Arabidopsis thaliana: one gene and its partner. The protein of the gene in region 2 interacts with the protein of the main gene of each other region in a pairwise test. Each region holds a gene or a part of one and is shown on either strand. Other genes may lie near its edges.

Evidence for each region.
Region 1: the proteins of AT2G31040 (region 2) and atpF interact in a protein complementation assay, tested with the Arabidopsis thaliana proteins (one study listed by BioGRID).

What each region holds. Positions count from the first base shown.
Region 1 is NC_000932.1:11,029-14,866, forward strand, and holds atpF (ATP synthase CF0 B subunit), read right to left. Parts: upstream 1,771-3,838; coding exon 1,626-1,770; intron 911-1,625; coding exon 501-910; downstream 1-500. Other genes in the region: atpA (ATP synthase CF1 alpha subunit), read right to left, coding at 1-433; atpH (ATP synthase CF0 C subunit), read right to left, coding at 2,234-2,479; atpI (ATP synthase CF0 A subunit), read right to left, coding at 2,993-3,742. UniProt on the Arabidopsis thaliana protein: F(1)F(0) ATP synthase produces ATP from ADP in the presence of a proton or sodium gradient.
Region 2 is NC_003071.7:13,208,123-13,213,344, reverse strand, and holds AT2G31040 (ATP synthase protein I-like protein), read left to right. Parts: upstream 1-2,156; 5' UTR 2,157-2,332; coding exon 2,333-2,641; intron 2,642-2,719; coding exon 2,720-2,769; intron 2,770-2,865; coding exon 2,866-2,962; intron 2,963-3,041; coding exon 3,042-3,137; intron 3,138-3,294; coding exon 3,295-3,375; intron 3,376-3,542; coding exon 3,543-3,634; intron 3,635-3,719; coding exon 3,720-3,812; intron 3,813-3,917; coding exon 3,918-3,986; intron 3,987-4,085; coding exon 4,086-4,251; 3' UTR 4,252-4,426; coding exon of another isoform or gene 4,427-4,678; 3' UTR 4,679-4,721; downstream 4,722-5,222. Other genes in the region: AT2G31050 (Cupredoxin superfamily protein), read right to left, coding at 593-1,195; AT2G31035 (oxysterol-binding-like protein), read right to left, coding at 4,427-4,678. UniProt on the Arabidopsis thaliana protein: Facilitates the assembly of the membrane proton channel of the chloroplastic F-type ATPase. Specifically required for the efficient assembly and integration of the CF(0) subunit c into the chloroplastic ATPase complex in the thylakoid membrane.

The DNA of each region.
Region 1 (3,838 bases), on a different chromosome or scaffold from region 2:
CATATACAGAACGTCTCGAAATAATACCTGGGGCAGGAGATTCAATTAACCGAGATTCAGAAGCGGAAATCTTACCTCGACCATCAATAGGGTTAGCCAAGGCGTTTATAACACGCCCCAAATAAGCCTCACTCACCGGTATCTGAGCAATTTTTCCCGTAGCTTTGACTGAACTTCCTTCTTGGATCATCAAACCGTCACCCATTAATACAACACCAACATTATTGGATTCTAAATTAAGGGCAATACCTATAGTACCCTCCTCAAATTCTACTAATTCACCTGCCATTACTTCATCAAGACCATAAATACGAGCGATGCCATCGCCCACTTGAAGTACGGTACCGGTATTTACAATCGTTACTTCTCTATTATATTGCTCAATACGTTCACGGATAATATTACTAATTTCGTCGGCTCTAATGGTTACCATGAGTATTGTCCTGATTCTTTTGTTGGAAGAAAAAAAAATAATGCCTATAATAATCGTAAGGAAATAATTAATCAGTTATTTCTTTCATCGTACCAAACATCCCAATATTTGCATTAATAGTACGTAAATGTAACTCATTACTCAAACAACTATTTAGGGTTCCTATAGCTCCTTGTAAAGCTTGTTGGAAAACCCGTTCGCGGACTTGATTAATTGTTCTTTGTTGCTCAAAAAGAATGGTTTCATTTTTGTAATTTTCTAATTGTTTCAAAGTTTTATAAGTTGAATTAATCAAATTCAATTTTTCTCGTTCGATTTCAGAGTATCCATTCACGCGAAACTTATCCGCTTCCGTTTCTACGTTACGCAAGCGCGCCCGGGCATTTTCTAATTGTTGAATAGCTCCTTCACGCAGTTCTTCTGAATTTCGAATAGTATTTAATATCCTCTGCTTTCGGTTATCTAATAAATCATTTAATGAAAGTAGATTATCTTTCCATTCATTAAAAAAAAAGTTCTATGATCCCTTCCCGAACCAAACATGAATCTTTCGATTCATTTGGCTCTCATGCTCACTTATTCCAATCAATTATTTATGAGACTTCCCTTCCCATCTTTTTCATGCAATGAGCCTACCCTCTCCCGAGTTTTTTTATTCAATTCATATTCAATATATATTTCTATCGAAAAAGATCACCAATCCAAGATAAAAATATTCGGAGGATTCTTCTGACCAATGAAAAATTAATAATTGTCAGCAAAGTTGTTTCTTTTTTTCTTGAAATCCAAAGAATTCTTATTATTTTATACGTAGGTTATCAATTCTGCATTATAAAAAAAGACTCAAAAAATTTTATCGACATGAGTGTTTTATATCGAAAAAAGTATAACAATTCTTTTTGAAAATTTTATTCATTTTTTTATTTAGTCTACATTTAGACTATATATAGTAGAAAGAGTACCATGTTGCATCTGAACTTCAAACGGTTTAGCTTTAACCATGTTAATTAATTGTCCCAATTTTTGGTTAATAGAGAATCAAAGTAAAGCGGACTTACCAAAGAATAACGAAAGGCTATGGTTCTCAAATATGATTTTTTTATTCAGAAGTAATTCGCGGGATTATGCACTCTTTCCTAGTTATAGTGCCACTGGGTGAATCCAGCCTATTCTTGAAATGAACAACTCACACACACTCCCTTTCCAAAAAAGATCAATACACCGAAAACTACACTTAGATTTATTGGATTTGTTGCTAAAATATCGGTATTAAATCCGAAACTCCCGGCGGATGGCCAGTGACCCAAGTAAACGAAAGAATCGGTTAAATTTTTCATATAATCTCCTCTTCTAGCTAAACTATAAAAAAGGAACTCTGTCCTTTTTTTTTTATTCTTTTTATTGAAAATAAAAAGAAATTTGAATTTAATAATTTAATTTACCTATTTGGATATTTGTAAACAGAATCAAAAACCTATTCTATTTACAAACGTATTTTCCAAAATTTTTAATTTTCAATAATAATAATGAGACTTATTAGAATTAAGCTAGAATTTGAGACCAAGTTTTATGTCAAGTTCAAAAAACCTAAACCTACTTTTTTCGCAACACTCCTTAAAAAAAAGTTTCTATTAAACTAAAAGAATAAGGGGAAGGAAGAAAGCGAATCGATGTGCTAATTCCCCATCCTCAAATTAGTCCTTCCCAAGGATTGTTGTCTCAATGAATAATTGTAGGAGTTAAATCTTGATAGAATTAAAAAAACTACAAAAAAAATCCAGAATTTTGTGATTTCTGGGCTTAAACAAAAGGATTCGCAAATAAAAGCGCTAATGCTACAACCAGGCCATAAATTGTTAAAGCTTCCATAAAAGCCAAACTAAGCAATAAAGTACCTCGTATTTTTCCTTCTGCCTCAGGTTGTCTCGCGATACCTTCGACAGCTTGACCCGCAGCTGTACCTTGACCGACTCCAGGTCCAATAGAAGCAAGCCCAACAGCCAACCCAGCAGCAATAACCGAAGCAGCAGAAACCAGTGGATTCATGATAAGTTCCTCACACCAAAATAAAGAAATAGTTAATGATACAATCATCCAATGACTTAGGACGTAATTCTAATTAAGTAATCGCTAAGATTAATCCAGCCAAAAAAACCAAAAACTTTAATTGAAATATGAAATAATATAATAAAATTATTGAATCATAAGAATTACTTTGATAGTAGTTCCTATCCGCGGGATTTTTAAAAATCCATAATATATATACGACTTTTTTATGCCATTTTTTTTATGAACCATTCTTTGAATTCTTCGTTCTTTTTTTATCATTTTTTCAGCCAATTCACAGATAAAAAGGAAGAACTTCTAATCGAATCCCTATCTAAATCTAAATAGAAATTCACAAAAATAGTAGAGCAGATTCAGATTATATAGATCTTTAACTCATATATACCTAGGCAATATCAAATATCACATATACAAGTGTTTCTTACATAATGTAAACCAACTATTCTATAATTAATTGGGCTAACCTAAAAAAGAATATTAAAAAAAAAACCATTAATGATGACCTTCCATAGACTCACCTATATAAGCCGCAGCTAAAGTGGCAAAAATGAGAGCTTGAATCCCGCTTGTAAATAATCCAAGGAACATAACAGGTATAGGAACCACTAAAGGTACTAAAGAAACAAGAACAACAACGACTAATTCATCGGCTAATATATTTCCGAAAAGTCGAAAACTAAGTGATAGGGGTTTTGTAAAATCTTCTAAGATGTTAATGGGTAAAAGAATTGGGGTTGGTTGAATGTATTTACTGAAATACCCTAATCCTTTTTTGCTAAGCCCCGCATAAAAATAGGCTACTGATGTGAGTAAAGCTAAAGCAACCGTCGTATTTATATCATTCGTTGGTGCTGCTAACTCCCCTTGAGGTAACTGGATAATTTTCCACGGTAAAAGGGCTCCTGACCAGTTAGAAACAAAAATAAATAAAAACAGGGTTCCAATAAAGGGAACCCATGGACCATATTCTTCTCCAATCTGGGTTTTACTCACGTCTCGAATGAATTCAAGGACAAATTCAAAGAAATTTTGGCCGTCAGTTGGAATTGTTTGTGGATTGCGAATCGCTAGAACTGCGGAACCTAATAAGATAGCAATTACAACCCAAGAAGTAATAAGAACTTGGGCATGGACCTGGAAACCCCCTATTTGCCAATAGAAATGTTGGCCTACTTCTACACCAGATATCTCATATAACCCTTCTTTTATTAGTGTGTTGATGGAACATGATAAAACATTCATATTGCCCTCTGACAGAAATAAGAACTTTAAATTATTTTGATTCAAGACCCCCCCTTTTTTTTTACTTATTTACTTAAATTTTATATTTTAGTTTTG
Region 2 (5,222 bases):
TTCTTGTATTGATAACAATAAGAAGATAGATCGATCCCGATGCTGTATTATCATTGTGGACCACCGGATTTATCATCGTTATAAAGAAAGTTTTGTTGGTGGCCTTGGGGTCTATTTAACGACCCACATGACCCAAGTTATATTTTTAATTTATAACTGATTCCTTTTGTTCCAATCGTCGTTCTAATTTTATCTCATCAAAAGCATGTGTCTCCATTTATGTTAAATAACATGGTAGTAGAAACTTTAAAAAGTTAATAACTAATGTTCAGTTCGAGTATCATGAAAATATCCACCGCACAGTAGTCGCCAGTTTGGTTATGTCACTCCAGACCAAGCTTAAGCCACTCCAGACACAAGGACTTGAGGCCGCATTGTAAGGAAGTGTTGCAATCGTTGCATCATCTACTGGAAGAACCTCAAGAGGATCCTCTAAAGGCTTAGGACTAGGAGTAGGTTTTTGATTAGAAGAGGATGGGTTGTTAGGTTGAATAATGGGTGTATTATTCTCTAGAAAAAACTACAAACCAAAGTCTCAAACGTACGTAAGAAGTTAAACTAAAAGAAAAAAGACAAAACGTGTGTAAATATATCAAACTAAGATGAGCAAAGAAAGTAAAGGAAGGAAGCAGAGTCCAATCCAAACATTAGAGTTTGAAGCTGCACTATGTGGAGCTGGTGATGGTCCCATCTGATACTGTACTGGAGCATGATTAACCGGTGACTCAGCCAACGGAGACTGTGAAGGAGACGAAAAAGAGCTTGGTGGTCGGACGGGTCCAGGAACCGGAGCAGCGACAGGTCCCAATGAGGCTGGTAATACATGGATTTGAAGCTTTTGTCCCATGTCACAGTGACCAGGAAATCCGCATATGAAGTGTTGGAGTCCCGGTTTGGTTAGAATGACGATATCAGACCCGGTCTCGTATCTTGCTAGCGGTTTGGACGGTTCACACATCTCGTAATCATTGTGAGTGACTTCGGTGACGTCGTGGAAGTCTTTGTTGTATTTGAAGACCAAAGAGTCTCCAACTTGAAAAGTTATTGTAGATGCCCATGTCTCGTAGTTGACGCTCATAATCGTCCATCCGTCGGAGTCACCAACTTTGTGAACGGTTCCTCCAACGGAAATTCCAAAAAGTGCTACAAGAATAAGCAAAGAAGTAAAGAAGGCGTTGCTTTTGATCAAAGCCATGATCGATTGTTGTTTGAAACGAGAGAATTAAGCAGCAAAGAAAGAAGAAAACAACTATGTAAGAGATATTATAAAGTTTTGAGTTTGTGTTGGTGAGAAGTTGAGAGAGCACTACGTTGTTTATATAGACCCGAGGTCTCGTTTAAGGTAACCCTTTTCTCTTTAAGAATTTGACGATTTTATATGTTTTTCTAAATCAAAAATATATTATATTTTGATAATTCCTAGTGATAATTGTTAAGGTCATTTTTTCCCTTTTTGTTAAATATATCCAGAAATTTATTAATTCTTAAAGGTATTAATTTATTGAGAGATTATAATAATTTTGTAATTATTTTTAAAAAATTATCTCATAAGAAGTTTTTTTTTGTAATTAATATCTTTATAAAATTATATTACTTATTAAATTTTAAAAACACACAAACTTTCTCGATGTAATAAAATATTAGAAATGAACTATTTCGAAAATTAATACAAATTTAAGAAAAATATCATATTTAATTTTTACCAATTGTTTATTTCACCAATTGTTAGAGTCATATTTAGGGTCTAATTTATACTCCCTCCGTCCCATGAAGATGGATTTTTTAGAAATTTCACATTCTTTAAAAAATAATATATAATGACAATTTTAATCTCTTAATACTATTTAAAAATAATTATTACCATTTATTTAATTATTTAATAAGGGTAAAATAGGTAAACAGTTCTAAAAATTACATTGGAAATATAAAAAATTATTTTTGTGGGACAAATTTTTTTCCTAAAAAATTTATTTTTGTGGGACGGAAGGAGTATTCTTTAACACACATACAACGATTAGGATTTATATACAAAAGATATTATCTTCTTTTAATTAATTAATTAATTTATTTTTATTTATTTATTTATTTTTTAATTATTGTAAGTTAAGATTCCATTTTCGCATCTTTTTTTTTCCGAATTTCCTTTTTTGTAACATTTTCTCAAATTTTTAATGAAATGTTTGTTTTTTTGGTGGGAATATTTAATGAAAATATCACGAAGTCCAAAATTGCCACAAGCTGAGATTTTTATTTTATTTTGCATCATCATCATCAATATCATTCATCATCATCAGACATCAGGTGCGTCATAAGCTCCACAAAAAACTCATCCATGGCGATTCTTAGTTACATCTCAGCAACATCAACCACACCACCAATTCCTCAAGATCAATCTCCCAATTCTCGTCTACCAACCAAAATCATTCTACCCAATAAGAAACCTGAGAAATGGTCCACCGGAGTTGCTCCCGGAGAGTACGGTGGTCCTCCGACTACCACCAAGCTCCGAAAGTACTGGGGAGGTGAAAAAGAAGATCCCATTACTTCCACAGACTTAATCTGGAACAGAGATTTTATGGATCAAATGAAGAAATTGTTTGATGATCCTAATGATTCTTCTCTCGACCCATCTCCTTCAAAGGTTCAATCTTTATCCCCCCAAATTAGCTCAACTTTAAGGTTTCACTAAATCTCTTTAAGGTTTTGTGATTGCTTACAGGAAAAGTCTTCTGGGTTTCTGAGCTTTAGCAGAGTTATGAGTCTTGACAGGTTCATTCTCCTTTAAACTGATAAAAATTAGTTTTTTATTTCTTGCATTTTGATTAATGGTTGATTTGTTTGTTGTTGTTATCTGTGGAAAATTAGTATGGATGTTGATTTAAGTAAAGAGCTTGCATCGTCTTCTAAATCCGTTGTGAAAAATCGTCTTGACACCTCCAAGTCAGAAGCTAAAAAGCAAATGGTGAGAAGCCAATTTGACAAAGCCACATTGCTATTTCTTTATGTCTCTGAAGTTTACTCTTTTTTGTCAATATCATTAGAGTAAGGCTATTGTGTCTCCTAAATGGAAGCTGGCACCTACACGTCGTGAGCAAGAGAAATGGGATAGAGCAACGAAGGCTGCAACTGGTGGCAGTGTAAGTTTATCTTTGCAATTGATGGATCACTTGTGCTTTGATTTATTAATTCTATACCAATTGAAATGTCATTTTCATTGTAAACATTGATCAGAATTGGCAAAAATGGATCTTCTTGGTTCTTAATTCCTTCCTTCATTTCTAATGTGTGCTGCAGGATGTGATGTTTAGGGAGCTGAGACGGCCACGTGGTGACCCAGAAGTACAAGCTGCTAAAGACAGGGAACAATATTTTAAGGTACCTTCTTTGGTTAGCTAATCCTTTCATGGTATGACAAATATCATGTATTGCTATCTCATGAAAAGGCAGCTTGTATAAGCACTACTCTTTACCTTCATGGGCAACTCCGTTACTTTTGAAGCATTCAGTTCCTAGTCTCTTGACTTTTGGATTGTTTTCTGCAGCTGAAAAATAAGATTCAGGTTCTCACACTCGGTATTGGTGGTGTTGGTTTAGTCTCAGCTTATATCTCATACACCCCAGAGATAGCACTTAGGTTTGTCTTCTCATGCAATGAACATCAAAATCTCGTTAAGGACTTTTTAAATCAATCTTAATTTGTGTTGAATATTTTGTTACAGTTTTGGTGCTGGCTTGTTGGGTTCACTTGCATATATGAGGATGCTTGGTAACTCTGTAGATGCCATGGCAGATGGAGCCAGAGGAGTTGCCAAGTACTATATGTTTCTCTTCAAATTCTTATCAGTTATCTATGTTGAGACCACTCACTCACTCACTTATCTCTTTTGTTCTTTGGTCTTACTGAATTGATTTTATAGAGGTGCAGCTAACCAGCCACGGTTACTAGTCCCCGTTGTGTTGGTTATGATATTCAATAGATGGAACGCGTAAGCACCTCTCTCTCCGTTTTGCATTATATATCTTTCATCCAAAATCAACTTGGTTACATCAATCATATTTACTTGTGACTTCTTCATATATTGCAGAATACTTGTTCCTGAGTATGGATTCATGCATTTGGAGTTGATACCAATGTTGGTTGGGTTCTTTACTTACAAAATTGCTACGTTCTTTCAAGCTATAGAAGAAGCCATCTCCATTACTACTCAAAAACCCGAATCAATCTCTCCAGACACACAGGCCAGTGATTAATAAGGTCAAGGTCAGTGTTGTAAGAAATGTAATTAAACACAGAAGTGTTAATGTAATAAAAACTAATAACTCATAAACTCATTCATACCAGCAAATCACCAAGAGATAGATAGCTAGAACATATAAAGCAAATGCAGAAAGAGTGAAACATAGAAAGTTAATGACTTTGAAATTTTTAGACCAAACCGGGTCCAGTGTTGGTTTGAGTGTATTCTTCGTTGAGTTTGCCTTCGTAAACATAACCGAGCTTCTCACAACACTTCTTAATCTCTTTGACATCTTTCTCCGAGCAAGTATCATCGGAAACAACAACGGTCGTTTCGTTTTCTCCCGTTTCATATTTGGCAACTGCTTGATGATTCAGAACTGCAATCTTGACGACCTTGTCGTCTCCAAAAGTAGTGCAAGAAATTACTCTAGCTTCCATTTCTTTATTATTGTCTTTGGGTTTATTACTCTGCTTTTTGGATAGGAATAATAAAGAGTATAAGGGTGATGGATGGTTTATATAGAGAACAATCATGTGAATGATAATTAATGGTCAAATCACGAAACATGTATGCATGTAAAAAACTGTAAATGGACCACCAGATTTGGTTATTATTTGAACAATAAAGTTGAATCCCTGAAATTGCTTCATTTTACATGACTCAAGTTTTCCAGTTCTCTATCTTAGAAAGTGAATGCCACAACAACAGTATAGTGTTAAGGCACAATTTCCTATAGTTGTAGTAGATATATGTTTTACCTTAGGCAACCAGAAGAAAAAAAAAAAAAAGTGTTAAGAGTTTTATGGTAGATCGCAAGCAGAAGAAAATATAATATAATTTTTTTGTATCAACAATCATTTATTTGTTCTCATTAGTATATACATATGTATAGCTTAAAAATCAAGGTTATGGCTATGATACCAGATGGTGTAGATAACACATATATTTTTGTTTAGTCTAAGAATGTCCAAGAATCTATGT